Linked DNA regions of Macaca fascicularis. The main gene of each other region encodes a partner of the protein of the gene in region 5 in a complex. Links are inferred from orthologs where the notes say so. Each region holds a gene or a part of one and is shown on either strand. Other genes may lie near its edges. The genes, in order: NOTCH4, SIRT3, ANPEP, MAPT, SFN, YAP1 and RELA.

Evidence for each region.
Region 1: the proteins of SFN (region 5) and NOTCH4 are in contact, whole or in part, in a crystal structure (PDB 7OR3), measured with the Homo sapiens proteins. The link is inferred for Macaca fascicularis from reciprocal best matches to the Homo sapiens genes SFN and NOTCH4. Residues at the interface, in NP_006133.1 of Homo sapiens: Lys49, Arg56, Arg60, Lys122, Arg129, Tyr130, Glu133, Gly171, Leu174, Asn175, Val178, Glu182, Leu218, Gln221, Leu222, Asp225, Asn226, Leu229, Trp230; in NP_004548.3 of Homo sapiens: Arg1914, Arg1915, Phe1916, Ser1917, Ala1918, Gly1919, Arg1921.
Region 2: the proteins of SFN (region 5) and SIRT3 are in contact, whole or in part, in a crystal structure (PDB 8ANC), measured with the Homo sapiens proteins. The link is inferred for Macaca fascicularis from reciprocal best matches to the Homo sapiens genes SFN and SIRT3. Residues at the interface, in NP_006133.1 of Homo sapiens: Asn42, Ser45, Val46, Lys49, Arg56, Lys122, Asp126, Arg129, Tyr130, Pro167, Gly171, Leu174, Asn175, Val178, Tyr181, Glu182, Leu218, Ile219, Leu222, Asn226, Leu229, Trp230; in NP_036371.1 of Homo sapiens: Arg99, Arg100, Ser101, Ile102, Ser103, Phe104, Ser105, Val106, Gly107.
Region 3: the proteins of SFN (region 5) and ANPEP are in contact, whole or in part, in a crystal structure (PDB 7AEW), measured with the Homo sapiens proteins. The link is inferred for Macaca fascicularis from reciprocal best matches to the Homo sapiens genes SFN and ANPEP. Residues at the interface, in NP_006133.1 of Homo sapiens: Asn42, Ser45, Val46, Lys49, Arg56, Lys122, Arg129, Tyr130, Gly171, Leu174, Asn175, Val178, Glu182, Leu222, Asn226, Leu229, Trp230; in NP_001141.2 of Homo sapiens: Ala60, Ser61, Ala62, Thr63, Thr64, Leu65, Asp66.
Region 4: the proteins of SFN (region 5) and MAPT are in contact, whole or in part, in a crystal structure (PDB 4FL5), measured with the Homo sapiens proteins. The link is inferred for Macaca fascicularis from reciprocal best matches to the Homo sapiens genes SFN and MAPT. Residues at the interface, in NP_006133.1 of Homo sapiens: Asn42, Ser45, Val46, Lys49, Arg56, Arg60, Phe119, Lys122, Arg129, Tyr130, Glu133, Gly171, Leu174, Asn175, Val178, Tyr181, Glu182, Ile183, Ile219, Leu222, Asn226, Leu229, Trp230; in NP_058519.3 of Homo sapiens: Arg528, Thr529, Pro530, Ser531, Leu532, Pro533, Thr534, Pro535.
Region 6: the proteins of SFN (region 5) and YAP1 are in contact, whole or in part, in a crystal structure (PDB 6G6X), measured with the Homo sapiens proteins. The link is inferred for Macaca fascicularis from reciprocal best matches to the Homo sapiens genes SFN and YAP1. Residues at the interface, in NP_006133.1 of Homo sapiens: Lys11, Glu14, Cys38, Glu39, Asn42, Leu43, Val46, Lys49, Arg56, Lys122, Arg129, Tyr130, Gly171, Leu174, Asn175, Val178, Glu182, Leu218, Leu222, Asp225, Asn226, Leu229, Trp230; in NP_001123617.1 of Homo sapiens: Ala125, His126, Ser127, Ser128, Ala130, Ser131, Leu132, Gln133.
Region 7: the proteins of SFN (region 5) and RELA are in contact, whole or in part, in a crystal structure (PDB 7O6I), measured with the Homo sapiens proteins. The link is inferred for Macaca fascicularis from reciprocal best matches to the Homo sapiens genes SFN and RELA. Residues at the interface, in NP_006133.1 of Homo sapiens: Glu14, Tyr19, Leu43, Ser45, Val46, Lys49, Asn50, Gly53, Gly54, Arg56, Lys122, Arg129, Tyr130, Gly171, Leu174, Asn175, Val178, Glu182, Ile219, Leu222, Asn226, Leu229, Trp230; in NP_068810.3 of Homo sapiens: Ala43, Gly44, Ser45, Ile46, Pro47, Gly48, Arg50, Ser51.

What each region holds. Positions count from the first base shown.
Region 1 is NC_088378.1:139,487,097-139,491,298, reverse strand, and holds the start of NOTCH4 (neurogenic locus notch homolog protein 4), read right to left. Parts: upstream 2,801-4,202; 5' UTR 2,662-2,800; coding exon 2,598-2,661; intron 1,828-2,597; coding exon 1,746-1,827; intron 1,547-1,745; coding exon 1,251-1,546; intron 87-1,250; coding exon 1-86. UniProt on the Homo sapiens protein: Functions as a receptor for membrane-bound ligands Jagged1, Jagged2 and Delta1 to regulate cell-fate determination.
Region 2 is NC_088388.1:100,355-103,854, forward strand, and holds part of SIRT3 (NAD-dependent protein deacetylase sirtuin-3, mitochondrial), read right to left. Parts: intron 556-3,500; coding exon 346-555; exon of another isoform or gene 1-345.
Region 3 is NC_088381.1:74,267,736-74,271,868, forward strand, and holds the start of ANPEP (aminopeptidase N), read right to left. Parts: upstream 2,801-4,133; 5' UTR 2,756-2,800; coding exon 2,139-2,755; intron 1,632-2,138; coding exon 1,489-1,631; intron 1,385-1,488; coding exon 1,245-1,384; intron 788-1,244; coding exon 661-787; intron 578-660; coding exon 423-577; intron 170-422; coding exon 56-169; intron 1-55. UniProt on the Homo sapiens protein: Broad specificity aminopeptidase which plays a role in the final digestion of peptides generated from hydrolysis of proteins by gastric and pancreatic proteases.
Region 4 is NC_088390.1:67,473,562-67,477,807, reverse strand, and holds the start of MAPT (microtubule-associated protein tau), read right to left. Parts: upstream 2,801-4,246; 5' UTR 2,668-2,800; exon of another isoform or gene 2,227-2,667; intron 1,981-2,226; exon of another isoform or gene 1,725-1,980; intron 1,215-1,724; exon of another isoform or gene 1,090-1,214; intron 1-1,089. UniProt on the Homo sapiens protein: Promotes microtubule assembly and stability, and might be involved in the establishment and maintenance of neuronal polarity.
Region 5 is NC_088375.1:208,247,659-208,250,672, forward strand, and holds SFN (14-3-3 protein sigma), read right to left. Parts: upstream 1,796-3,014; 5' UTR 1,732-1,795; coding exon 985-1,731; 3' UTR 501-984; downstream 1-500. UniProt on the Homo sapiens protein: Adapter protein implicated in the regulation of a large spectrum of both general and specialized signaling pathways. Binds to a large number of partners, usually by recognition of a phosphoserine or phosphothreonine motif.
Region 6 is NC_088388.1:101,116,948-101,121,131, forward strand, and holds the start of YAP1 (transcriptional coactivator YAP1), read left to right. Parts: upstream 1-1,391; coding exon 1,392-1,712; intron 1,713-2,090; exon of another isoform or gene 2,091-2,557; intron 2,558-4,184. Other genes in the region: uncharacterized protein, read right to left, coding at 458-1,107, 1,165-1,393. UniProt on the Homo sapiens protein: Transcriptional regulator with dual roles as a coactivator and corepressor. Critical downstream regulatory target in the Hippo signaling pathway, crucial for organ size control and tumor suppression by restricting proliferation and promoting apoptosis.
Region 7 is NC_088388.1:8,704,989-8,709,219, reverse strand, and holds the start of RELA (transcription factor p65), read right to left. Parts: upstream 2,801-4,231; 5' UTR 2,715-2,800; coding exon 2,708-2,714; intron 2,235-2,707; exon of another isoform or gene 2,093-2,234; coding exon 2,066-2,092; intron 1,976-2,065; coding exon 1,824-1,975; intron 1,723-1,823; coding exon 1,574-1,722; intron 98-1,573; coding exon 6-97; intron 1-5. UniProt on the Homo sapiens protein: NF-kappa-B is a pleiotropic transcription factor present in almost all cell types and is the endpoint of a series of signal transduction events that are initiated by a vast array of stimuli related to many biological processes such as inflammation, immunity, differentiation, cell growth, tumorigenesis and apoptosis.

The DNA.
Region 1 (4,202 bases), on a different chromosome or scaffold from region 5:
CTGGATCTGGGGGTACGTGGCCAGACACACCCCTCCATTAACACATGGGTTGGCTGAGCAGAAGTCCCGAAGCTGGCACTGCTCACCTGAGGCAGAGGACAGAGGGAGCCGTTTCTAGCACTGTGTGAATTCTAGCCCATCTGAGGTTACCCAGTGCTCACTCTGGATTATCTCTGGGTCTCATTTTCATATTTCCTTCGCTTTATTACCATACTCTCTTTGCTCTGTTCCATCACCCCTGATCTCAGTGTTGCCATGGTTTGGGAGGGTTTATCTGGAGCGACCATATCTTCTAAAGTGATGATGAGAGTATTGGAAATTGTCCTTGCCTGAGAAAATCTGGCACATGGGTGATCTGGGGGGAGGTGAAAAGCACCCCACGTCTGCAGACAGGAGACTCAGGTGGCACCTTGCTGTGCCACAACTGGTTGTATACCCTTGGGTGAGCCACTTTGCCTTTCTGATCCTGGTTTCCTCATCTTTAAGTGGGTTTAGGCACCTGGAGACTCACTTCACAGTCCATGCGCACCAGTGGTAATGGCGGCCGCCGTGGAGGTGCCAGGTGCTGAGCTGAGCAAGCACTTCCTGAGCATCGGCCCCTTGTGTCCTCTCAGCAACCTTATGAAGTGTGACCATTACTCTCCCTGTTTGTCAGCTGACAACTGAACACCAGAAAGCTAAAATATCTTATACGAGGTCATGTAGCTGGTCAGTGGCAGAGCTGGCATTTGGATCCAGGGGCTGTCGCAGAGCCCCTAGTCTGAAGCACTAAACTTGCCCCAGGGTTACACTCCTCCTCCTGGGGTGGCCCCACTCCTCTCTCTGGGTCACATCCCTCCCTTCCCGGTGCCTCTCCCACCACTGCAGTCTTCCCAGGTGATATTATGGCTCCCTCCACTCAGAATGGGAGCCATTCAGATGCTCAGAATGCAAAAGCCTGGAAGACCCCTGGTATGCCGAGCAATGACCCTCTAGCTGCTAGGCAGCAGGGAGATTAAGGGGGCTAGGATAGGCATCAGGATGGTGCACAAAGGGGGCTCATGGCACCCTTAATTTGGAAATATTTTAACATTTTAGCTATCAGTACAACCCTGCTGGTGAATGTGGGTCGTGGAGAATTGGCATGTTGATTCTCATGGCTTGTCTTCAAAGGGCTTGCAGTTTCTCAGGCTCCAGTTCCATTTTCCCCACCCACAGCCTAGCCCATTGCTCCTGCCTGTCCCCTCCTGGCTGCCCCCAGCAGCGCTTACCTGTCCATCCAGGCATGCAGGAGCACTGTGGGCGGCCTGAGGCCTGGATGTGGCAGTGGCCCCTTTTGGAACAGAAGGAGGGAGGACAAGGATCTTCAAGCTGGGCTTGGCATCTCTCGCCAGTGAAGCCAGGGAGGCAAGTGCACGAGAAGCTGGGTGCCAGTGGAGAGGGAGAGCTGGGGGGCCCTAGGGGAGCGGGAAGCAGGGCTTGGCAGCTGCCTCCATTCTGGCAGAGCTGGGCATTCTGGCAGGGGTCAGGAAACTGGCACGTCTCACCCAGGAAGCCAGGGGCACACCTGGGCAGGGGAGGAGAGGAAAACTCACATCACTGGTCCCTCTTCCCATTCTCGCCCACCTCCCTCCTCTGCCTTCATTCGTTTCCCTTCATCTCCTTCACTTCCTCCCTTTCTTCTTTGGTCTCACTTCCTCACCTCTCCCCCCGCCCTCTCCCTCCCCCTTTCTCTCCAGTCTCCCACTCCTGCAAGGCACACTCACTGGCAGGTCCCTTGTCCCAGAGACAGGCTCAGGCAGGTGCCTCCATTGGCACAGGGTTCTGGGAAAGTCCCACACAGCAGCCCTGAGGGTGGAGAGGCAAGCGCGATGGAAGCCCTAGGTGCTGTGCCTCCACCTTTCCTCTTCCGGGTGCTCCTGAGAGACCTGCCCGCAGCAGCTCCCACAGGTGCTCTAAACCACCTCTTCTTCACACCTGTCCCCACTCTCCACATGGTACCCAGCCCCAGCCCCAGTGCCCTCCATCCCAGTTACTAATCCCCACCCCCCTTTCCTGTTTATTCTCTGGCCTCCTGAGTCCGGCCTCGGACTCCATCTCTCGGAAGCAAGACAACAGGGGTCAGAAGGGGGGGCGGAGGTGGCTCCCGGGAGGTGAATGGCTGAGACTTCGAAGAGATTTCCTCCCGGAAAGGCCCAGCATTAAGCCATCCGGGGGGTGGGGACAGCTGGACTCAGAAAGGGACTTAGTAGGCCTGACCTTTCATGTCCTTATCTCCTGCTTCCCTCTCATCTCTTCCCCAAGCAGGTGGTCAGTGTGTTCCCTCTTCCCCTCTTCCCTATGGCTGCAAGAGTCCTCCAGTGCTAATGCTGATGAGGTTCTTCCTGGAGGTGGGCACCCTCTCACCCATCCCCCGGCAGTCACTACCCCTGGCACCAGGCCCAAAGCAGGTCCACGGGCACAGCCGTTTTTCCCTGCAGGCCGTCTCTACTTGGGCAGTGAGAATCTCTTCCACCCAGCGTCCCTCACACAACCTGGGGCTTGGCCCTCTTCCCCCACCCCACTGGACATCCTCCTATGGGAAATGGGTCCCCCACCTCACCCACGCCATGCCTCACCTCTGGTTATGACCACTGAGACACATAACAGCAGCAGCAGCAGCAGCAGTGAAGGGGGCTGCATTCCAGAGCCCCTTCTCCAAGCCCAGGTCCCTGTCCCTCTTCAGGCGGGGACCCTCAGAGCCCTCACTGAGGTAGGAGCCACCTCCTCTGCTCCCACTGCCCCTCTTCCTCCTCCTCGGCCTGCTGCAAGCCTCACGTCTGAGCTGTTTCCTGAGTCACACAATGTCCTGGACACCCTAGTAATGGGGGGCGGGGGAAGAGTGGAGGAACACTAGGGGGGATGAAGGAGGGGCCTTCTGTCCCTGACAACCCCTGGGGAAGTAGGGGGAAGTAGGACAGTGTGCCTGGAGGGCAGGTGATAGGAGGGGAGAAGGACTCTCGGAACCCCCGGGGCAGTCCCAGCCCTGCTGTTTGTTGATCTGGTCTCTCCTTTCTAGGGATGAGAATTGCAAGGTGGCTGCCCCTGTGCCCCAGGAGGGGCAGGATCTGGAAACAGGTATTGGGTGGTTAGAGAGTTCTGTATTCCCCTTCCCAGGAGAGGATGCTTAATTTGCTAGGTTATTACAGATGCTTATCAGAGAACCCGCAACTTGTCATAGTTTGAAACCACTCACCTTGGCAAAAGGAACCCAGGGGGCTTCTGGGCCTTATCTTGGCTCTTGCCAGGACTTATTTTTCTCCTTCTGGGGAACGGGCAAGATGCTGGCTGGTTTGGGGAAATCTTGGTCTTCCTGTATAGGGGAATGTTAAGACTGTCGTTATCAGTGATAAATGAACATAGTGTACCCTAAATTTTGCAGTCTGGATTATCTGTAACTTATCACTGAATTTGGGTAGTTTTCACTTCCTCCATCTCTGCCTCCCTCCACTGCAGACGTCCTTGGGATGTAGGGAATGCCAGTCAGAATGCAAAACTGGAGTAAATAAAATCACAAAAGCGAATTCTTTGCCTCCAAATGCTCATCCTATTTTCTTGAGTCAACCCAGGACAACTTTGGGGTCAACCACACACCGAGTTCCTCTAGTAGCACAGGGAACTGAGAGTCCAGGGTGGCAGAAGGTGTCACTGGCAGCTGTGCTCTCCCTGGTGTTGAGGCACTCATGGTTGCCGCTGGTGTACCTGAGAACTTTCCCCTACCAGGGAACATACTTCACACCGCTTTCTTCCTTTTTTTTAGTTTTTTATTTTGAAATACTTTAAATCTCATGGGAAACGGGCAAGAATACTAAAAAGAATTCCAGGATACCCTTCACTCAGATTCATCCACTAACATCATTTGACCACATTTACTTTATCATTATTTCTCTATAAATACACATTTGTATTTTTTTCTGAACCATTTGAGAGTAAGTTGCATACAAGATACCCCTTTACCCTTAAATCCATCAGTGCGAATTTTCTAAGAACAAAACATTCTTTTACATAATACAGTACAATTATCCAAATCAGGAAACTTAGACTGATGTGATACTAATTGACGGTCCAAATTCAGGTCTTGCCCATTGCCCCATAATGTCCTTCATGACAATTTTTTCCCTTGGTCCAGGATCTCATTTGGCATCCTGCATTGCATTTAGTTGTCAAGTCCTTTCAGTTTCCTT
Region 2 (3,500 bases), on a different chromosome or scaffold from region 5:
CCCGTATCATCTCAGAATCACATACCAGGCCTTAGAGGAACACTGTTGGCTGCTTTACTTTAGGGAGTGAAGATAACGCCTACAGTCTGTTAAGAGTACAGACTCATCAGCCCTGAGTGTCTGGACCGTGTCCCTGCTTGGCCTGTTACCATCTGTTTCTTCATCTCTAAATGGAGTTATTGAAAGTAATACCCAATCAGGTCCAGGTAGCGCCTGGTGCAGGATTCACAGCATCATCGGTTACGACTGTTACCGTGTTAGCCAGTGGGGCTCCATACCAGATGGAGCACACCCTAGAGCAGTGAGGAGGGCAGCCCCTTGGATGGTCCTCCTCAGCGTCTGTACCTTCCCAGTTTCCCGCCGGACGAGGTCCCGCATCTCTTCTGTCCAGCCCAGAAGCTCCACTAGCCTTTCCACGCTGTGAACCACGTCCCCCAGCTGGGCCACGTCCCTGCCGCGAGGACGCCATGCCAAGGGTCCCACCAAGTCCCGGTTGATGAGCAGTCGGGGAACAGAGCTCCGCACGGCCTCGGTCAAGCTGGCAAAAGGCTCCACCTGAAAAATGGCCCAAATGTGAGGGTACAGTGTCCACCCTACAAGCCCCGCAGGATGTTTCGTGCCATAGCCACTGAGGCCTTGGAGGAGCAGCAGACTGGCAGTCAGACCCGGCGATACACAGAAAACCCACCACCAATCTCATTTCTTCAGTTGAGCTCCTGCCGCTTGGCCTCAGTGACTCTCTTTCCTCCCCTCAGCCTCCCTCTCTTCCACTCCTTGCTGCTTCCACACATCCTTGCTTCTCCCCACCTCCGTTCCAAGGCTCACCAGGGATCCAACCTTCCTACCTCCTCTTTGTGAGCACGTTCTGTTCTCCCTGTCCTCCCCAGCTCGCTGTCTCCGCATGCCACAGAGGGACGACAGCACAGACTCGTCCATCTCCTCTGGCTAGCCCTGCTTGCAGTGACAGCCACCACCAGCATCGGGCACCCAGACAAGCTGGTGCCCCCAAGCAGGAGTTACTGTTACGTCTCTCCATGGTCTTCACCACCCAGCCTCTAGAGAGGCCTAGCTCGGTGCCATCAGGCTTCTTCATACAACTCTCAAAGCGTCTTTTAAGAGGAACAAGGTAAAAAATGGACACATTAATAAATGGCATTAAAACTGGCTCATTATCTGGGAGGAAAATGCTCCATTCCTACCTCCCATTGAAAAAAATTCAAATGGATTAAAGGTTTCAATGTAAACAAAACAGTTCTTGAAGAAAACTGAGAGTTTACAAGTAAGGATAGGGAAAAACATTTTAGATGTGAAAACTGAAGTCAGATAAGGCAAAGGAAAATGACAGATCTGACTATGTAAATACTATTACATCAGTATCTACATAAAACTACTATGTAGAAAATTAAAAATTTTTAAAAACCTCTCATAAACTGCAAAAATATTTACAACATATGACAATAGTTTATATTGCTAATTGATAAACTCATTTATAAACATATAATGTATGAACTAATTTATAATGACATTTCTATTAATAGCCAGGCACAGTGGTTCATGCCTATAATCCCAGCACTTTGGGAGGACAAGGCAGGTGGATCACCTGATGTCAGGAGTTCAAGACCAGCCTGGCCAACATGGTGAAACCCCGTCTCTACTAAAAACACAAAAATTAGCTGGGCGTGGTGGCAGGCACCTGTAGTCCCAGCTACTCGGGAGGCTGAGGCAGGAGAATGGCTTGAGCCTGCGAGGTGGAGGTTGCAGTGAGCCGAGATCGTGCCACTGCACTCCAGCCTGGGAGACAGAGCGTAACTCTGTCTCAAAACAAAAAGAAAAGAAATTTATATTAACCTTAAAATTGATTTATATTATTTAATTTCTATTAAAATTAAAACTAATTTATATTGCTAATTTACAATGACCCAATGAAAAATGGACAAGAGATATAAATATACAATCCAAAGAGAGGAAACACAACTGGCCAATAAACATGAAAAGATGAATTTCATTCTTTACTACAGAAATGCAAAATCCACACCCCCCTCCACACACACACATGCATTTTTTAACCAATTTGATTTGTGTGATTTTGGTTTTGGTGAGGATGTGAGAAAATGGCTACACAAAAACACAGTTTGTGGCAATGTAATTGTTACATCTTTCTGGAAGGCAAGTTCTCAATATTTATCAGCACTTACCCTTCAGGAGCACTTGCATGGGTAGGTCAGGGTGACACACAGGGATATTTGCTACAGCGTGGGATCTCATTCTGTTGCCCAGGCTGGAATGCAGTGGCATGATCATAGTTCACTATAACCTCAAACTCCTGGGCTCAAGCAATCCTCCTGCCTCAGCCTCTCAAATAGCTGCAACTACACAGACCGCACCTGGCTATCTTTTTATTTTTTGTAGAGATGAGGTCTGACTATACTGCCCAGGCTGGTCTCAAATGCCTAGCTTCAGGCAATCTTACTGCCTTGGCCTCCCAAAGTGCTGGGATAACAGGTGTGAGCCACAGTGCCTGGCCCAGCATTACTTTTAATACAAAAATTATATACAATTTATTGTCATTGTCCATCAGTAAGAAATTGCTTACATAAACTTTGTATTAAATCCACAAAATCTATGTTAAAGCTCTTGTGGCTGAATATGTTTCAGAATTTTTGAGATTTTAAAAAAGATCATATGGTTTACACCCCACATACTATGTCACACCTAAAGGGGATCCGGAGTGGTACTCCATAGTCAAACACATTAATATTTCGTCCACAAAGCACATGAGACAGAGTCCATGCGTGACACCAGCTCGTTCAGTTCACGATGGCACCGTGTTTACAGACATGGGCCTCTCAGGTGGGACCTCATATCCGTATAAGGGAAACTGTCAGCATTAACAAGGCAGCAGATCTCCATGGACTCACATTGTTACATGAAAACAGCAGGCTGCAGAATAGAATGTACAGTGCTGTCCAACTTTTAGTTAAAAATTACCATCTGTACGTGTGCATTTGTACAGAAAAAGAAACCTGAGAGGACACAGAATAAAATGCTAACAGTTGGTGGGATTAAAAAGTTGATTCTTTGCTTTATATCTTTATATAATGTATGAATATTTTCTTTCTTTTTTTTTGTTTTTTTTTTTTTGAGACGGAGTCTTTCTCTGTCACCCAGGCTGGAGTGCGGTGGCGCGATCTCAGCTCACTGCAAGCTCCACCTCCCTGGTCCACACCATTCTCCTGCCACAGCCTCCCAAGTAGCTGGGACTACAGGCGCCCACTACCACGCCCGGCTAATGTTTTGTATCTTTTTTTTTTTTAGTAGAGACGGAGTTTCACCGTGTTAGCCAGGATAGTCTCGATCTCCTGACCTCGTGATCCGCCCGCCTCGGCCTCCCAAAGTGCTGGGATTACAGGCGTGAGCCCCTGTGTCCGGCCCTGTATGAATCTTTTCAAAGACGCACATGGTACTTATAATAAGGAAAAAGGCCATTTTCATTTCACTTC
Region 3 (4,133 bases), on a different chromosome or scaffold from region 5:
GGTGGCCCAGGTCTCCCTCCACACCCCCCGACTGGACCCCAGGGCAGCTGCTCACCAAGTTCCAGGTGGGCTCTGCATAGTCAGCACCCAGGTACTCCACGTAGGAGGCAAAGCCCTCGTTCAGCCACAGGTCATTCCACCACTCCATGGTCACCAGGTTCCCGAACCACTGTGGGGGGAGGGGTCAGCTGGGCAAGCCACGCCCAGGCCAGGCACTGAGAGTCCCCAGAACTACCCTCCCCAGGGCTGGCCACCTGCCAGGCACAGTGGGGATTTCACCAACCCCATCGTGACCCCTTCCTGCTGCCCTGTCAGGCGGCACCCTCCTCCCTTCTCAGCAGCCTGGGGCGGAGCCTGGACCTGCACCATCTCCTCCTGGAGCCCCCGTTTCCTTCTCTGCACTCCCCGAGATGGGGGTCTACCTGGTGGGCCAGCTCGTGAGCAATCACAGTGACCACCCGCTCCTTGTTGCTGCTGGAGGAGGACAGCGGGTCGAACAGCAGGGAGTTCTCCCGGTAGGTCACCAGTCCCCAGTTCTCCATGGCGCCGGCGTTGAAGTCAGGCAGGCCAATCTGGTCTGGGGAGGCGAGGCCATTGGCAGGATGGCCTCCGGGAGTGGAATTCCAACCACTGCCTCCCTCCTCGAGGACCCCCACTCACCTGATTTTGGGAGTGGGTAGGGTGTGTCATAATGACTGGCAAAGAAGTTAAGGATGGGGCCTGTCACGTTCAGAGCATAATCGCCGTGACCCGCCGCAATGGCACTGGGCCGGGCCCAGATCCGGATCTGCAAGGTGTGAGGAAGAAGCAGGCCAGGGGCCCCTGTTTGATCCTGGGGCAGGTGGGCTGGGTCCCAGGGCCCAGTGGGCCAGGGGGATCCCCGATGGGCCAGGGCTGGGGGTCAATCAAGCTAAACCTAGAGACCTGGTCAGCAGAAGGAACACTAGGGGGGCCTGGAAGCTGTGGGTCCTAGAGAAGGGCCTTTGGAGAATACCAATTATCATAGCCACCGTCTGTCTGGTACTGGCGGGTCAGAACTCCCTTCATGAGGAGAAACCATTGTTTTCACTTTTCAGGTGCAGAAATAGAGAACCAAAGAACAAGACACTTGCCCGAAATCACTCAGAGCTGGGATTCAAACCCTGGCCTAACGATTCAGAAATTGGTACAGGGATGAAGAGAACAGGAAGACCCCTCAAGCCAGGGCCAGCCCAGGTGAAGGAGAGATGGGCCCAGCCTCATACCAAGACATCATTGGATGCCTGCGTCTCCACGTAGGTGAACTCGCTGACAATGAAGGCCAGCAAGTACGTGGACATCTTGGGCGTGGTGTGGAACTCGGTGACACTCCAGTTGGGGTCTTCTGGAAGTGGGGTGCTGGGACCTGGGCACAGAGCATGCGTGTGTGAGGATGCACCCTCCTGCCCCATACCCCAGCCCCAGCGTGCCTGCCCCCTGGCCGTGTGGCCTCAGGCAGGGCCCACTCACCTTTGGGAAGCATGTTGGACAGGGCTGTGAGGTCCTTGGGGTGGATAAGCGTGATGTTGAACTCGGCCTTCATGGCCGGTTCATCAAAGCATGGGAAGGACTTCCGGGCATCTGGGGCCTCCATCTGTGTTGTGGCCACCACCCTGCCCCAACCAAAAAGTTAGAGGGTATGCCAGGGCTGAGGGTATGGGAGGGGATCTGAGGATGCTACCAGTCATGCAGGGAAAGGGGTACATGGAAGGCTGCCCCAGCCTAACCCCTTCTCCTGCTCCCGCTCCCGCCTCCCCTGGGAGCCTCCAGAGCCCTGCCAAGCCAGCTGACTGGTGGGGGTTGGGGCTCCTTCTGGATTTGGGGTGCCAGCAGGCTCTCAGGGACCTCTGGTGAGTTTCTCTCCTCTGAGCCTCAGTTTTCCTGCCTGTCCAAGGGACATTCCGTCCCTCATCCCCAGCTTCCTGGTGAGGGGTGGGGAAGCCCTCCCAGTTTGGTGTGTTGGCAGCTGCTCTGCCAGCAGCTGGAGGTGAAGCAATGGGCCAGCCTCGGGCTCCACAGGGTTCAAAGGCCTGCAAGTTAAGTCCTTCCTTGGCCCTCAGAATCCAGCCTTGCCTCGGCACCTCGGATCCACCCCACCGGGTAGCCCAGCCGACACTCACTTTTTGACATCGCCCTCCATGTACTCGCTGCGGTAGAAGCCCTTCAGGTCATCTGCCAACTCCCCCTCAAACTCACTGTCCATCTCATATTGGCTGTCCTTCACCAGGGAGCCCCTGAGGTGCACCACCAGGTACTCAGTGGGCTCCACCAGCTCGGTTCTGTCGATGTCGGGGGGCTGGGAGCCTCCCACTCCACGCAGGACCACCCTGTGCCCCTGGCTGAGGGTGTAGTTGAGCTTCTTGCTGTGGATGATGATGACGTCGGTGGCCTCCTTGCAGGTGAAACGGACGGTACTGGAGCCCTTAAAAATGTATAGGCCCCTGTCATCGGGGGTGAGGTACGGCCTCAGCGTCACCTGGTAGGAATCGGGTTTCAGCGTGTTGGGGAGGCGGTAACGGTTCCACAGTATGCTTTGGTCCAAAGTGGTGGCCAAGGTGGGGTTGCTGGTGGTGGCTGAGGCAGACGGGGTGGTGGAGGCCTCGAGGGAGCTCTTGGCATTCTTGTTCTTCTCCTGGGAGTACACCACTGACAGTGCGATGATCGTGCACACGGCCGCCACGCCCAGGAGGATCCCCAGGATGCCCAGGGACTTGGAAATGTAGAAGCCCTTGGCCATGGTGATGGTGGGGAGGCGGCTCAGGGAGCCTCAGGCCAGGCGGAGAACGGAGCAGCCCCAGGCTGGGCTTATATCCCTGAAGGGGAGGAGCCCCACAACAGGCAGACTGGGCAAAAATTAACCAGGGCTCCAACAGGCGAAGGTCACTGGACTGGGCAGGGGCACACTCTGCCTGGGGAGAGAAGATCCAGGAACAGTGTGTAGAGCTGGGCTTGGGGGTGCCTGCTGGAAGCAAACAGTGTCTGGTTACAGGCTGCAGGCAGCCTGGGATCAGGCCTGAGGGCTGAAGGGCAGGCTGCCGGCTAAGGGCCCAGCAGGCAGAGCAAGTGGCCAGGTGGCATTGCATTGATCTGCTTGAGAGCTGAGAGGGTGGGAACAGCATCAGAACTGAGGTTAGAGTCAGGAAAGGACTTCCCAGAGGCGAGAGATGGGAGGTGCACAGAGAAGGGTTCCTGGCTCCTATTAAGAACACACTGGGGTCACCCCTTTGGTTGTATCTCTGGAAGGATGCCAGGAGCTCCTCAGTGACAAGGTCCCAGCCTCCCTTTCATTCTTCAAGAGCACGGAGTTCCTCCAGGTTCCCCTCCCTGCCCCTTCTTGCCAAATACTTTTTCCTCCATTATCAGCTCACGGAATAAAATGAATTGAGTTGTTTTGCTTTTTTGCTGAAGGCTTCATCTCTTTCCAGCTGTGACCTTGAGCAGGTAACTTTACCCTTCTGAACCTCTCTCCTCATAAATAAATAACAGTATTTGCCTCTCAGGTTTGTTGAACAGATTTAATGAGAAAACACATTAAACACCAAATAGTATAATGATTAAAAATCATTCCCGGCTGGGCGCGGTGGCTCATGCCTGTAATCCCAGCACTTTGGGAGGCTGAGGTGGGTGGATCACGAGGTTAGGAGTTCAAGACCAGGCTGGCCAACATGGTGAAACCCCATCTCTACTAAAAATACAAAAAAATTAGCTGGGCGTGGTGGCAAGCGCCTGTATTCCTAGCTACTCAGGAGGCCGAGGCAGAGAATTGCTTGAATCCAGGAGGCAGAGGTTGCAGTGAGCTGAGATCGCACCACTGCACTCCAGCCTGGGTAACAGAGCGAGACTCCGACTCAAAAGAAAAAAAAAAAATCATTCCCTTCTTTTTTACCCAAAGCTCAATGATTGCCTCTTTCTATCCTTGGTAGAAATGAAGATATTGCTTACCATACTCAATAAAATACACACCTTACAGGAAAATTATGTTCATTGTCACTTTCCCCATCCACCAGCCCAGTTTCTCAGACCTCGACACCGCCTGACCTCATTCCACATCCAATTTACTCACATTCCCCCATCGCAAGATGCACTTGTCAAAGCCATTCTCATCATTTATGTGG
Region 4 (4,246 bases), on a different chromosome or scaffold from region 5:
GCAGTGGCCCAACCAAAGCGCCAACACATTTCAAAATGGAGCGAAATCGCAGAAGCGCGGATTGTGCTTTGTTCCCAGCATTGGGCTAAATGCGCTCATCCCCACCGGGCTCCCTTTCCTCCAACGGCAGCAGGTGACATCTCTGCTCGAGATGGCAATAGGCAGCCTTGACCGTGGGCTCCCCTTTTCCAGGGCCGTCCCGAGACCCTCACTCCATCTGGAACCGGAATCCCGCGCCCAGCTCTGTCTGGGGGCGAGGGAGGAGAGAAGATGCTTGAACTGACCCCTGAGCCGCTCTGCAACCCCTCGCGGTGGCTCAGCCATGCGGGAAGCCTCGCAGCACTCAGGCTCCAGCCCTCGACGCCACCGTCGAGGAAGGTCAGCCTGGTCCCGGGCGGGCTCTAGTTCCCCAGTCAAGCCATTCCCCGGAAATTCAGATCAACCTGGGCAGCCCGCGTGGAGGATTCAGCTCCTAGATGCTCGTTCGTCTCAGAAGTGCGCCCCCCCGCACCAGTTTTCAGCGATAGAATTAACCAGAAAACGGCGCGTACCAGGTTCATCACAGGAGGGCGAGGCTCGGATGCCTTGGCCAGGAGTTCTCCTTGCAGCCCCAGACTCGGTTTTGGGGGTACGGTGAACTTGGATACGGGTGAAATCCCGCATTTACGATAAATAATATTAATCAGTACAGACATAATATTAATAAAAATACACCCAAGGGCTGCCTATCTGCGGCCGCCAGAGGCCAATTAGAGTCTCAGGTGCAGGGGTTGGGGGCTTCCTCCCGTGTCCTCCAGGAGGCCAACTGGGCGCGGCCCCGCCTACCCCAGGGTCCCCAATCTCCCCAGGGAAGGGGTGGGGCCAGCCCCAAGGTCCCCTCTCCGGACGCCTGTGGTTCCCATGGCAATTCCCCCTCTGTGCCCCCTCCAGTGGGCTCAGAAAAATGGGTGTGGCCGCAGCACCAGTAACCTTATGCCCCCTCCTCACATTCTCCCGCCAGGCGAAGCAACAGGGCGTAAAGCTGGAGAGGCCCCACCGGGGCTCCCCACCCATCCCCGAATGGGTAGCCAGCGTCCCTCGTTGGGCAACCTGGTGTGGCTTGGCCCTCAGGACACTCGGGGTGTTGGGAGGGGCGTGATCCCTCTGCCGCCGCCCGCAGCGCAGCACGGAGACTCGAATCCCATCCCTTCAGAAGCTTCCTGGCGCCCGCAGACTCCGAGACGAGGCTGCGCGCGGTCACGCCCGTTCCATGCGTGCCGGGGGTCGGGGGGTTGACTCGGGTTCGTCGACCCCAGCAAGCCTCGAGATCCAACAATGGGCTCGGAAATGAGGAACGAAAAAGGAAAGAGGTGCTTGGGGGTGGGGGGAGGTTGGCTAAACACCCTCAGAATAAAAGCCAGAAACCAGGGCTGGGAGCGCAGATCACGTAACCTCTACAGACAAAGCAAAGAGCCCCCGAAGAAGGTGCTGGGTGAACGCCCCCAGCGCTCACGCCCGCAGCAGCAAAACGCCAAGATTTCAGCGCTGATTGTCCCCCTCCCTTTAATGCCAGGCCCCGCCCTGTCCTACGAAGCCCGGCCACCCGGTTTGGCATGGCACCGTAAAGACGTGACACGCCGAAAAAAGATGGCACCTCGGGAGTGGGAGGAGGCACAGCCTATCCTCCCCCCTCCTCGCCCACCAGGATCCACACCCACTGCCGCAGTGAGGGGCGAGCCCTGCGCGCCAGCCCCGCGCCTCCGGCAGGGAGCGCACACGCCGGGCACCCTGCGCGCGGAGCGCTGAGAAAGAAACCCGCCCCGAGATGCACCTGCAGCCCCGCGCCCGTCAGTGCATGGCTGCTGCTGTGCCTGCCCGCGAGCGGGGACCGGCGGCCGCCGACTCCGTCCACATCGCCAGGCCAGGTGACCCCTGCCTTTGCGAGCGTGCACACTGGGATCCTCGCACTGTTCTCAGGCACGGCGCTGCTCGCGTCTCTGTGCCAGGCGTGCGCAGGGGGAAGGGCAACTAAAGTGACAGCGCCTGGACCCCTCCCCATCTCCTCGATTCCTCCCAGCCCCCAAATGTCCCCTACGGGTTTCTGAAGGAGGAAAAGGGGAGGGGGCCGGCCCCCGCCTAAAATCAGGGGCAGTGAAGGCCCTGTCGGAATCACTGCTCGGGAGGTAAAGGGAGGGGCGTGCAGGGAGTCAGTCATCTTTTCTAGAACCCGATCCACATCTTCCTTAGGGCTGATGGCGAACAGCGGCAGGGACAGCGGATTTCAGGTTCGGTTTCGGGGGTCGTTATCGGACCCCTCCCCCCCACGCACGCCCATTGCGGCAAAAGACTGCGGTCGAGAGTGAAGGGCAGCCCCCTCCCCCAAGTCACCGCCGCCGCGCCCCACCCTGCCGGCACGGCCTCCACCTGGGGTCGGCGCGAAGCGGGTGAAGACCCTCCAGCACACACACACGCGCGCACTCAGGCGTGCGTGCATCCCTTGCTCACGTCCCTTTCCAGGCCGCCCTGGCCCCAGCCCCCGAGCAGGGGAGGCAAGGAGGGGCCCTGCGGTCGCCCCGACCGATGCCCGGCGCACGAAGCCCCAGTCTGTGGAGGCTGAGGGCGAGGGGCGGCGGCGCAGGGGTGCACAGGGGCGGACGGCGAGGCAGATTTCGGAGCCGCGGCGCTTACCTGATAGTCGACAGAGGCGAGGACGGGAGAGGACAGCGGAGGAGGAGAAGGTGGCTGTGGTGGCGGCGGCAGAAGGTGGGCGGTGGCAGCGGCGCTGCTGTTGGTGCCGGAGCTGGTGGGTGGCGGTGACTGCGAGGGCGCGCGCCGGCGAAGAGGGCGCGTTCCCGAGGCCGGCAGGCGGCGCAGGCGCGAGCAGCGGGAGCGCGAGCCTCCCCAGGGGAGGGGGCGGGCAGCCCGGCCTCCGCGGGAGCCTTCTCCTCCGGCCACCAGTGGGCGCGCGCGAGCGCCCTGCCGCTCGGCTGTCCGGCGCCTCCCGGCTGGTTCCTCTCGGCGCTGCCCTTTCCCGGTGCCCCTCCCCCTACGCCTCAGGCCGCGGCGCTGACCGCAGCGCGCACGCGCGTTCCATGGCGCACGCGCACTCTCCGCCTCCCATAGCTGGAGCCTTTGTCTCGTTGGAGGGGTGGGTGTCTTCCTTCGGGCCCTGCGGGGTCGGGGCAAGGCCAGTGACTCCGCCAGTGGGTCCCCTGCCCCTTTCCTTTCAGTCAGCCTGAGGCGGTGTCCTCTCCTGGAGAGGTCCTGAGCGACCTTCCACGTGGCCAGCTCCCCAGTCCGCCCACCCCGACCCTCCGAGTCCCGAAATCGCCCCCCTGGCTAAGGTCGCTTTTCCCCAGGCTGCTTCCTTTCTCCTTGCTTTTTTCCCATCTTTTTTGTTACTGACCAAGGTGAATCCTTTCCTTAACAAATTCACTTAAAGCAAGCTAACTCAGTTACAATACAGTAGAACTGTACTTTAAAAAAAAGTATTTGGATCTATGATGTATGTAACCGTGACGCTAGAAAAGAAATCTTAAATTAGACCAAATTGAAATAGTGCTTAACACATCGCAGAACATTTGCACACACAGTTATTTGTATCACGTCTTTTGAAACATCTTTATGCTGTAAGTAGAGTTTGAAGTCTGAATGTTTAAGGGCCAGCTGGAGATTGTCCCCTGGAAGAGGCATCTCAGCCTGAAACTGACCAGTGGTCCTCATTCTACTGGTCACCCAGGCCCCAAGCTTCGGCCTTAGCTTGGATTTTTCATTTCCCCAACGTCAAATTTAAGCCCTGGCAGTGGGCGGATTTCTATGTATGGGGGTTTAGGGCAGCCGTCTCCTCCTAGGGAGATGGGAAGTTGTCTTGAAGCTCCAATTTGCATGGTTCTTACATTATTTTTTAAAAACCAACATATGTTATAGATTAATAGAAAAAGCAAGTAAAATGCTTTATTCACACTGAGTTTCTGGAACTGACCTTTTTCTTTCTTTCTTTTTTTTTTTATCCATATTAACTTTATTTTTAAACAGAGGGGCATATATCCAAAGAAGTAGGAGTGAGAACCACCGTGGGGGCTTGCTGAAAGCGATCTGCCCTAGCCTTCTGACTTCAGAATGTCTCATGAGCCAATGGCCTGGGGATGGAACTGCCCCTTGATGGTGTACACCTTAGAAAAGTCAATGGAATTGACCTTTTTTTGGAGACAAGGTCTTGCTCAGGCTGGAGTGCAGTGGCACAGTCATAGCTCATGGCAACCTTGAA
Region 5 (3,014 bases):
CTTTGGGACGTGACCCTCTCCTAAGATCTGGGCTTTTATGGCGGCACTGCACCCCTGCCTCAAATCGTACTTCCCTCCGCTGAGATCTGAGCCCTTGATGAGACTGTGACCCGCCTGTAAATCGGGTGCTCAGTGCCGCTCACTACTGCAGCGCTGTCCTTAGATCTCATGCCGGAGACTTCACTATTTCCTGTCCCGCTCCACCTGAGCTCGTCAGCCTCCCGCGCTGCGGCTCCCACTCACCTCCCCTCGGCCCTGCAGAGGAGGCTCGGCGCCTCCTGTGGGTTCACCTGACCCTCCCGGTCCCATCCAGTTTGACTGGGGCCGCCCTGATGGAGACAGCCGGACCCCGGCCTCACCTGGACTCAAAGTCTTGCGTGCAGGTCACTGAGCCACCCAGGGAGGTCAGGGCCCTAACTCAGAGGTCGAAAGTCAGGATCTCTAAATCAGATTCCAGTTCCACTCCCAACCCATCGCCAAGAACTGGAAAGAGACAGGAGGAGTGTCACAGGGGAACTTTATTGAGAGGAAACATGGTCACACCCAGCAGACATGCTTTCCTTCAATGTCGGTCTTGCACTGGCGCGCGCGCGCACACACACACACACCCATCTCCGGCCCCTGCCACTGTCCAGTTCTCAGCCACAAGGCGGGACATTCCTCAATTCCTACGACCAGAGGCAGCAGGGGCAGGAGTGAGGCAAGAGGGAGGGGAGAAGTAGCCTGGTCCTGGGGTCGGGAGGAAGCGGTGCGGAGAGCAGGGCTGGGGTCATGACCAGTGGTTAGGTGCGCTCAACAGCTGCAAGAAGAGTGGGATCCCCAGCCCCAGGTGGCCTCAGCTCTGCCAGTCCCTCTCCACGGAGCCGTTTGGAGTAAGAACAGCGCCTGGGGGAGAAGGGTGGGGCCTCCCACCCCATATTAGTCCTCTCGGCAGGGTGGGGGACTGAAGGGGGCAGGGCAGGGTGGGGCGGTGGTGGGCAACACTCAGCTCTGGGGCTCCTGGGGAGCCTCGCCCCCCTCTTCCCCGGCGTTGTCGGCCGTCCACAGCGTCAGGTTGTCTCGCAGCAGCTGCATGATGAGGGTGCTGTCTTTGTAGGAGTCCTCGCTGAGGGTGTGCAGATCAGCCATGGCCTCATCGAAAGTGGTCTTGGCCAGCGAGATGGCCTCCTCGGGGCTGTTGGCGATCTCGTAGTGGAAGACGGAAAAGTTCAGGGCCAGGCCCAGGCGGATGGGATTGGTGGGCGGCATCTCCTTCTTGCTGATGTCCATGGCCTCCTGGTAGGCTGACCGGGCTGAGTCGATGATGCGCTTCTTGTCGTCACCAGTGGCCACCTCGGCCAAGTAGCGGTAGTAGTCGCCCTTCATCTTCAGGTAGAAGACCCTGCTCTCCGCGTCCCCAGCCTCCTTGATGAGATGGCTGTCCAGCAGGCCCAGCACGGTGTCGCACACGCCCCGGAGCTCAGTCTCCACCTTCTCCCGGTACTCACGCACCTCGGGGCCCTTCTCCTCCGAGCCCTCCTCATTGCTTTTCTGCTCAATACTGGACAGGACCCTCCAGGCAGCCCTCTGGCCGCCCACCACATTCTTGTAGGCTACTGAGAGCAGGTTTCGCTCTTCGCAGGAGAGCTCCTCACCTTTCTCCACGGCGCCCTTCATGAAGGCTGCCATGTCCTCATAACGTTCGGCCTGCTCTGCCAGCTTGGCCTTCTGGATCAGACTGGCTCTCTCCATGGCTCTGGGGACACACAGGCGGGCGGCGGGCTAACTGCTGCCTGGGACCAATGCCGGACTCTGTGCCTCTCCTGCTCTTGGCCTGCCTTTTGGCTGGGTGGCCAGGCCCAGAGAAGGGTGGGGAGGAGCAGGGGGCGGGACCAGGGCCCAAGACCTGCCTCCCTCTCCTCTCCTCCCCACACCCTTTCCGGCTCTGCAGTCAAGGTAAAAAGGCTGGGATGTGGGGGTGAGTCATCAGAACAGTCAGCAGAAGAAATCTGGGCGTGGGCCCCACCTGCACAGGCACCTTTCCAGGCTCTAGGCTGCCCCCTCTTGTTCGGGGCTGGCATCATATGGCTGCTCACATCAGGAAACTGCCTGGCTTCTCAAATCAGATCCTCCTTCACAGCGTCCTTACAGAGGCTAAGGGCGGCTTTAGCCCCTGGCTGCTTCTGCCTCGACAGAGCCCATAAAGGTTCAGGAGGATGGGGTTCCCAATCCTGCCAGGTAACTTCTCCCCTTGATTCAGGTGAGGATAACTTATGTTTAGGTAGGGCCATAGAGTTTCCCAAGCACTTTCATATTCACCATCGAATTTAATCCCCACTGTGTCTCTGTGACACACACAGGACCACAGAGATGGGAACACTAAGTCTCAGAGAGGGGTGAGATTTGCTCAAAGTCACATAGCCACCACTTCCCTGAAACTCCTTTCTGCACCCTGCTTCCTTTAGCTTTTCTCCCGTTGAAGTCTCTGACCTATGAGCTCCAGGCTGTGTTTGGAAGTGAGATCCAGGCTCTTTCTCAATCTACCTGAAGATGGTTCCATCCCTCAGGCCTCACTCCCCCTCAGGGTCCCCTCTGAGCTCCCAGAATGCGCAGGTGGCAGCTTTCAGAGTGCCACTTAATGAAGTGTTTAACAAGCAGCCTCTGACGCTCCAGCCCAGCCTTTGTAATTAGTCACCCAGTAGGTTTGTTGGACACATTTCCCATCACTACACAATTTTCCCTTTCAAGTTGGTGGCCTGTTGCCACTTGTTTGAGGATTTACCCTCTGGCCCTCCACACCAGGTCACTTGCCCTCTCCAAGCCACATGCCATCAGGTACCAGTGGGGTTCACAGAGGGTGGGGTCCAGCTCCCCGGCTGTCCCACTTTCCTGCCTGACTCAGACTGCTCTCTGTCTGAGGCTGGGAAGCAGTCCAGTTTGATCCCCCAGGGGGGACGCTAGCAACCTGGGGAGAGAGAGGACTGAGAAAGGGAGGTGGCAGTGACACATACCATTCTGTTTTATGGGGCAGCAAT
Region 6 (4,184 bases), on a different chromosome or scaffold from region 5:
CTTATTCAGTCCACATTAACGGAGTCCACCCTTGGGCCAGGCACAGGGATAGCAGGGGTAGGCACCCAGCTCCCTGAGGATGAAAGGCAGGTACAGAGGAATGAATGCTTGTACCTGAAGAAGCACTGATTTTTTTGGGTTGAGGCTTCCAGTGACTATGTTGCAAACTCGAGTACTAAAACAGTTGATGTGATTTCACTATTTAGAAAATGTAGTGTTTTTGTTTCTTTTACTAAGTTACACTGACTCACAGACCTGGTCTCAAAGCTTCAATTACAGTAACCGTTTACCCTTTCAAGTGAGTTTTCGCACACTAACAGATAAGTGAAACAGAATTACAAAATAAAGTTAATGCTGAAAACAATGGACCTTTATTAACATCAGCGCCGGCTCACCGTATCTATTTTAACTCCCATCTATCCTGGCGGCTTTAAGCCCGCACTGGCGCTCCGCTCGGTCAAGCCGGGGTAACGCGGGGAGGAGGAGGTGGGTTCGCACATCCTCTCTCCACTTCTTTCGGCCTTCGTCCTTTCGCAAGTCCAGGCGAGCTGGAAGCGCCTTTCCCGAGCACGGGCCGGGAAAAGGAGCCGAGCGGGGCGGAAGGACTTTCTGGGGCCAAGGGCGGCCGCGTTCTCCGCAGAGACCACACTTCGGCCTCGGAATGGACCCAGCGTTTGTGGTTCGCGGCGTAGAACACGGGGCACGCTCCGGGCCCCTGCCGGGCTGAGCGCGGGCGAAGGGCGGACCGGACCAGGGCGAGCGGGTCACGTGCGACCGGGAGAGGCGCGGAGGGCTGGGAGTGTGCAGGAATGTAGCAACTTGCAGCGAAAAGTTTCCCTGCGCTGCCGGCCGGGCCGCGGTGCGGGCGGGCGCGCAGAGGAAGGAAGAGCCGAGAGGAGGCGGGGCCGCGGCGGCGCGGGCGGGCGCTTCTCACAACTTTAGTTTTGGCGTCTGAGGCGAGTTTCTGTCTCAGTCGGGCGCAGCCGCCGCCAGGGAAAAGAAAGGGAGGAAGGAAGGAACAAGAAAAGGAAATAAAAGAGAAAGGGGGAGGAGGGGAAAGGCAACGAGCTGTCCGGCCTCCGTCAAGGGAGTTGGAGGGAAAAAGTTCTCAGGCGCCGCAGGTCCGAGTCCCTCGCAGCCCCTCCCGAGGCGCAGCCGCCAGACCAGTGGAGCCGGGGCGCAGGGCGGGGGCGGAGGCGCCGGGGCGGGGGATGCGGGGCCGCGGCGCAGCCCCCCGGCCCTGAGAGCGAGGAGAGCGTCGCTCCCGCCGCCCAGCACCGCCCGGCCCGCAGCCGTCGCCGCTTCTCCACCTCGGCCTGTGGAGCCGGGGCGTCCGGGCGGAGCCCTCGCCCGCCTGGTTTAGGGGGTGCGCGTCGGGGGAGGCAGAAGCCATGGATCCCGGGCAGCAGCCGCCGCCTCAACCGGCCCCCCAGGGCCAAGGGCAGCCGCCTGCGCAGCCCCCCCAGGGGCAGGGCCCGCCGTCCGGACCCGGGCAGCCAGCACCCGCGGCGACCCAGGCGGCGCCGCAGGCACCCCCCGCCGGGCATCAGATCGTGCACGTCCGCGGGGACTCGGAGACCGACCTGGAGGCGCTCTTCAACGCCGTCATGAACCCCAAGACGGCTAACGTGCCCCAGACCGTGCCTATGAGGCTCCGGAAGCTGCCCGACTCCTTCTTCAAGCCGCCGGAGCCCAAATCCCACTCCCGACAGGTAACCTTGTCGCCCCTCTCCCCGCTTCCCCGTCGGGCGGGCCTCAGACCGGGGGGGCGCTCGGGAGCCGCGGCCGCCAGCTCTGGCCAGGGGAGGGGGTTGCGGGAGCTCTAGCTGGGGTGGGGGTCCCGCGGCGAAGTGGAGGAACTGGAGTCGTCCGCTCGGCCGCGGTGACCAGCTCCCCACTCCTCCCAGAGTCCGGGGCTGAGATTTGTTTTTCCTTTCGGAGTTTCTTTCTGCGGTTGCGGCCCCGGGGGGCGTGCTTTCCCTCCTTCCTTTCTTTCTTCCCGGGGTTCCCGGGAGGTTGGCGGGAGTGGAGGAGGGGTGGGGAGGAAGGAAGGGGGTGGGGGAGAGCCGAGCCTGGGCCGCGGTGGGCTTGCACAATGCGCGCGCCTCCGCGCGCTCCGCACCTTCGCTCCCGCCGGGGCCGGGCCGGGAAAGGGGGAGGGGGGCCTCTGGCATTTGTGTGTGGGTGAGTTGCCAGCGGCGGCCGAGTTTGTGAAGTTGAGCCCTGGGCCCCTTTCCTTTGCGGCCTCTCGGTCCACTTCAGTCTCCTGGGGGAGTCAAATAATTGTTCTCTTGTTTTCCAGTGTTGATTAGAGGTGGGGGTAGAACCGGTCCATTTAGTTTTTTGCTCTTTCTTTCCCTCCCCCCTACCCATTTCCCCTCCCCCTCTGCCTCCCCCTCCCGTAAGCATTTATTTTCCTCGCGGCTTAGGCGATTTCTGAATACAGGTTTCGGGCTTCCCCTGCCCAGACTTTCCTGGAAGTTGTTTATGGAGTTCTTTCACCCCTGCGCTTCCCTTGTGTCTTGGAACTTGGGTCGGCTCGCTCTTATCAAACTTAGTAGGTTGCGTGTTGGTTTCCCGATCGTAGGCTATTATTTACAGTCGGCTGAAAAGCTTTTGAATTAGCCACATCTGTACGTTGCGCAGGAACTGAGTTGCGCTTTACAGTACCGAGGTTTTAACACAAGCCTTTGATAATACACTGCGGGTTGACTCATAGGCCAAGTCCTGCCTAGTTCAACTGTGATTAAAAGTTAATGTTTGGGAAGCGATGACTAATTCTAGGATCGCCATTGCTTTTTAATTCTTATTGCGGATATGAACATGGCTGCTTTTCCACATACACAACGTTCGATTATTTTGCCAGCTTGATTCAGCATAGAAGTGAAACTATTTATAATGAGAGTGTTAACATTCCGATAGGTCCCAGTGGTTTTGTTTAGTGTAGGGTTCTCTCTTTTTCCTTCTTTTCTTTTTTCTTCTTTTTTTTTTTTTTAAAGAACTTGCTTCAGGCTAAACTTCAGCATAGGAACTTTGCCCAAAAGTTAATAGGTTTTCCAAATACTGCAATGTAGTTAGCCTACTCGGGCTGTAACTTGAGTGGAAAGAAGAGTTACCGCCCCCACTCCCATCCTCTGTCCTATTTGCGGGCCTGTTGTATATTCTTCTGTCAGAGACCACAGGGTTTTGGAACTCAGAAAAACTCACTTAACCTGATGACAAAAACCCGGGTTAAGGAGGAGGAAGGAAGGAAAAACAATTTAGCTGCTTGCCTAAACAGTTCAATTTGTCAGAAATAGACTTAGGTATGCTTTTTTTCTTACCCCTGGAAGTTGGTTTATGGACTCATTGTAAGTAAATGTGTGTTGGCATGCACCCTGCAGACTACACGGTATTTTTTCAAAGTATACTACACATAGATTGGATCCCCCATTTTGTGACAAAGAGTCACAACTGGAAAGTGTACTTTTTCTTCTAGTAGGTAATTTTTACAAGAATTTATATCCAGCAGTTCTAAAATTCATAAACTATTACAGTTTTGCTTTTAATAAGTTTTTAACTAAGTGTTGCTCATCTGTAAATTGGACTTTTATTTCTGCTAGTGATTTTCTAAATCATACTTATTCTGATGGGACACTCAGAAAGGTCTATCACTTTAAGGCATTAATGACTCTACTGAGTCCTTCCGGTTTCCTTACCTTTGTGAATCTAGGAAATTCTAACTTTTTGATAATCAAACTCTTAATTCTAATTAGACACATTTTAAAAACTATGCAAGATTGTGAATAGTAGAATGTAGGTTGTGAATACTATTGTTCACAACACAAACTGGTGACTATAAGTTGTTTTATATACATCCATTTTTCTGTCTTGAAAACTATGTTACAAACGAGAAAACAGGCATATGGAAGTTAACATACTTGTTCAGTGTCACACTAGCCAGCTTAGACTGGAACTCAGATCTTTGGGGTCTGAATGCAGAATTTTTTCTGCTTGTATAGAGTTGTGAATGTCTGTGAGTTCTTAAGTTATAATTGGACTGATAACCTCATTATCTTCTACATACAAATATATAGTTGAGTTTTTTTCATCTTGTTCATTGTAGATGGCTTTTAAGAACATTTGGGCAGTTCAAATTTGTTGCTTTCATTAAAAATTGTGTAATTTGTTATGATTTCTTTATT
Region 7 (4,231 bases), on a different chromosome or scaffold from region 5:
CTCACCTTGGAAGGGATTGTTGTTCGTCTGGATGCGCTGAGTGATAGCCTGCTCCAGGTCCCGCTTCTTCACACACTGGATTCCCAGGTTCTGGAAACTGAGCACCCCCAGCCATCTGTCCCACTGTCTCTCACACAGCCCGGACCTTCCTGCCTTGCCCAGTCTGCTCCTTCCTCCCCCACCCACCCCCAGACCATCGCTCCATGCTTGACCCCCTCCAGTGGCTTCCTACTGTGCTGCAATGAACCCTGTCCCTTCCCTCAGCTGACAAGCACCTCCGTGCCCCCGCCCCTGCCAGCCTCCCCGTGGGCTCCCTGCTTACAACCACAGGCGCTTCTTTTCCATTCTCTAAACACAGGACACTCATTCCCACCTCAAGGCCTCTGCACTTGTTTGGTCGGCTTGGAATGTTCTTTTCCTACTTCTCTCCTCCTTCTCACCATTCAAGGAGGGAGGCCTTCCCTGACCTTCCAATCTAAAGTCATCACACCAGCTCCCGTAACTCCCCCACCCCAGGTTATCCTTCTATCCTATGACTTTGTTTTATTTTCAGGACTGAAATTGTTACTCTGACAGCACCTTGTTTATTTATCTGTGTATTTATTTATTTTTAAGAGACAGGGTGTTGGGCCGGGTGCGGTGGCTCACACCTGTAATCCCAGCACTTTGGGAGGCTGAGACAGGCAGATCATGAGGTCAGGAGATTGAGAACATCCTGACTAACATGGTGAAACCCCTTCTCTACTAAAAAAAAAAACGCAAAAAAATTAGCTGGGCGTGGTGGCGGGCACCTGTAGTCCCAGCTACTTGGGAAGCTGAGGCAGGACAGTGGTCTAAACCCGGCAGATAGAGGTTGCAGGGAGCTGAGATTGCGCCACTGCACTCCAGCCTGGGGACAGAGCAAGACTCCGTCTCAAAAAAAAAAAAAAAAACACGACAAGGTGTCGCTCTGCTACCCAAGTGTCGTGGTGTAATCATAGCTTGCCATAGCGGTGACCTCCTGGGCTCAGGTGATCCTCCCACATCAGCCTCCCAAGTAGCTGGGACTATAGGCACAAGTCACCATACCCAGCTAATTTCTTATTTTTTTGTAGAGATAGGGTCTCACTATGTTGCCTTGGTTAGTCTTGAACTCCCAGGCTCAAGAGATCTTCCTGCCTTGGCCTCCGGAAGTGCTAGAATTATAAGCATGAGCCACTATGCCTGGCCTGTATATTTTTTTAAGGCCTGTTTCTGTCAACTGCAATGTCACCTCCAGGGGAGAGTGTTGGTTCAGTGGTTTTCTTTCTCAAACAAGAGACATGACTCCAAGGGACTTGTCCTTCCAGCTACAGGGGTCAGGGATTCAGAAGTGATTAGGGACCCATCCATATCCCTTGGAGCTCTTATCTGTGCTAGAGTAGAGGTACAAATAGATCATTTCAAGACAAAGAGAGTTTACTTGCAGAGCTGAGTCAGAGCAAGAAGTAAGCAACTCTGCCCTGTGTCCAGAAAGGAGTAACACTGTAGCGGCTACTTCATAGCCCGCCTCCTGTTCCCTCATGCTGGGCCTCCTAGCCTGCAGGGAGCTCACCTGTGGATGCAGCGGTCCGGGCAGAGCTCAGCCTCATAGAAGCCATCCCGGCAGTCCTTTCCTACAAGCTCGTGGGGGTGAGGCCGGTGAGGAGGGTCCTTGGTGACTAGGGAGATGCGTACTGTCCCTGGTCCTGTGTAGCCATTGATCTGTCCAAAGTACAGAGGCCCAGACATCCAAACCTGACTCCCAGACACAGAGGGCTGGGGTTCCACAGTCCCTTCCCCGCACACCCTGGTGCAGTGCTGACCTTGATGGTGGGGTGGGTCTTGGTGGTATCTGTGCTCCTCTCGCCTGGGATGCTGCCCGCGGAGCGCCCCTCGCACTTGTAGCGGAAGCGCATGCCCCGCTGCTTGGGCTGCTCAATGATCTCCACATAAGGGCCAGAGGCCTGGGCTGGCTCTGCCAGGGGACACCGCAGGCCCATTAGACAGCTGCCCCCGCTGCCCTACCCCAGGGAACACCTCCCGGACCGCTGCGGGGGCCACTTACCTGCCGGGAAGATGAGGGGGAACAGTTCTGAAAGGGGAGGGAGATCAGGGTCAGCACACACCCACTGCCCATCCTCACAAGGGAGTATCTGCTCTCCACAGAGAAGAGAAGCCAGGCTCCCTCCCAGGGGAACTGAGTAAGGACCTGCTTCCTAGAACCTGCGGTGAAACTAAGGAGTGGAGGAAAGGAACCAGAAACACCTGCTTCTTGAGGGAAAACGGGGTAAGGAATCCTTCTCCCGAGGGAAGCCGAATCAGGGCCTGTTGTACTTTCATAAGGAAAACTGAGGGAGGGCACGCCCCACCTCCATCCAGAGAGGAAACTGAATCAGATGCGTTCTCCCCTAATAGGGAAACGAAGCCAGAGCTGCCCCCATGGACGGTGTGGAGGGAAACTGAGTCAAGGCTCCCTCTGCTCCCCCACCCAGGGAGGATGCTGAGTCAAGGGCCCCCCTCCACCCAGAGGGGAAACTGAGTCAGACCCCTCCCCGCCTGCCCCGCCCCGCGCCACCATCCGGCAGGCCGACCGCTCCCTGCGCAGCGCCAGTCGGCGCAGGAAGGGGCGGAAAGCGGCGCGGGGCCTCCCGCCACAGCCGGGGCGGTCCCGGCGCGGCCACCCCGCGGGGTCAGAGGGCGACCTCACCGTCCATGGCCGGGGTCCCGGGGGCGGGGCCGGGGTCGCAGCTGGGCCCGCGGCGTGCACTACAGCCGAGCCATTCGCCAGAGGCGGAAATGCGCCGCGCGCGCCCGCCGTCGCGTCACTGCCCGGAATCCGGCCGCGCCTGCGCGCTGCCCCGCCGCCGCCCGGCGAAGGGGCCGGGAGCAAGTGCGCGCCGCGCGGAGGACGAAGAGGCCGCGCGCACAGCCGCTGCCGGGGGCCGGGGCCAAGTGCGCGCGTCGCCGGGGACGAAGAGGCTGGTGTGCCCGGTGGTTCGGCTAGCTCCCGGGTCCCGGCCCCGCCTGGAGGGCGGGTCCGCCGATTACTCACTTTGTTTTTAGGGGATTTCAGGGCCCCCTCCCACCGATCGGCGGAGTTTGGTGATGTCACTCTGGGCCGGGTCTGGAGCAAAGCCCGGGCTACGGGGCTGCGGCCGCCCGCCCCGCGCAGGGAAAGGCCCAGTCGGGCCTTCTGCTCCGCAGAGGCCGGGTGGTTGAACTCCACGCCGGTTTCCTCATCGCTAAAGGTGCCTTTCGGTGGTGACTGTCTCAGAAGCACGTTAAAATGTCCAACCTACCCCACTCTAGATGCGGCTGTAGGGGAAGGGGAGCGGCCGGACCTCCCCCTCTGACAGTGCATCAGGGAGCTTTGCGGAGCCTGCAGCCCGGATGGGACAACTTGAGGCCCTCCCGCTGGCGAGCTGGCCGAGAGCTCGTCCCTCTCCAGCTAAAGCGCCAGCTTACTATGCAGCCAAACTGCCGGCCCTCAGCGGCTGCAGGAGCAGGGGGTCCCCAGGGGTAAACCCCGGAGCTTCGTCTCTGAAGCCTGGCGCTTGTATCTCAGAAGGTCCGGAACCCACAGGGGACACTCGAATCAGCAGGGCCACAACCCCCAACCCCACTGCCCCCGCCTGTGTTTGCCCTGGACCTCCAGCTAGGGCTGACCACTAATTCTGTCATGTGACCCCACAGTGCGGGTAGCTCCCCCAAGACCAAGCCCAAGGCGCGTCCTTGTGGGGGCTGGGGCTGGCGCAGCCCCACCTCAGGCCTCATCCCCGAAGGAGGATGCTCCAGGGGGCGGAGTCTTCTCCAGATGGAGAAAGACTTATTTTCTCTGAATTCGTCTTGAATTAGGAAATCATGTGGGAATTGGAAAAGATTGGAAATTCTGACTTGTTTCCCAGGCTCTGAAGAAACAGGAAGAGAAAAGTGAAAATAGAGTTAGCACCCCGCCCACTCATTTCAGTTTCTCCAGTGGCTGGCCCTGATTAGAAAAGTGTTTACTTTTGGCAGGGGGCGGGGAAGGCCGACTTCAGTTGAGCGAATGGATGACATACAATTATCATTAAACCTTGCATGGATCCTCTTCTTAAAATTCTTGTATATTTATAACTTTTAAATTAATACCATAAACACCCGTGTACCCATTGCAAAACTTAAGGGACCACCACCGTGCAGAATTCTGCATTGTATTGTATTGTATTGTATGTATTTATTTTTTGAGACAGGC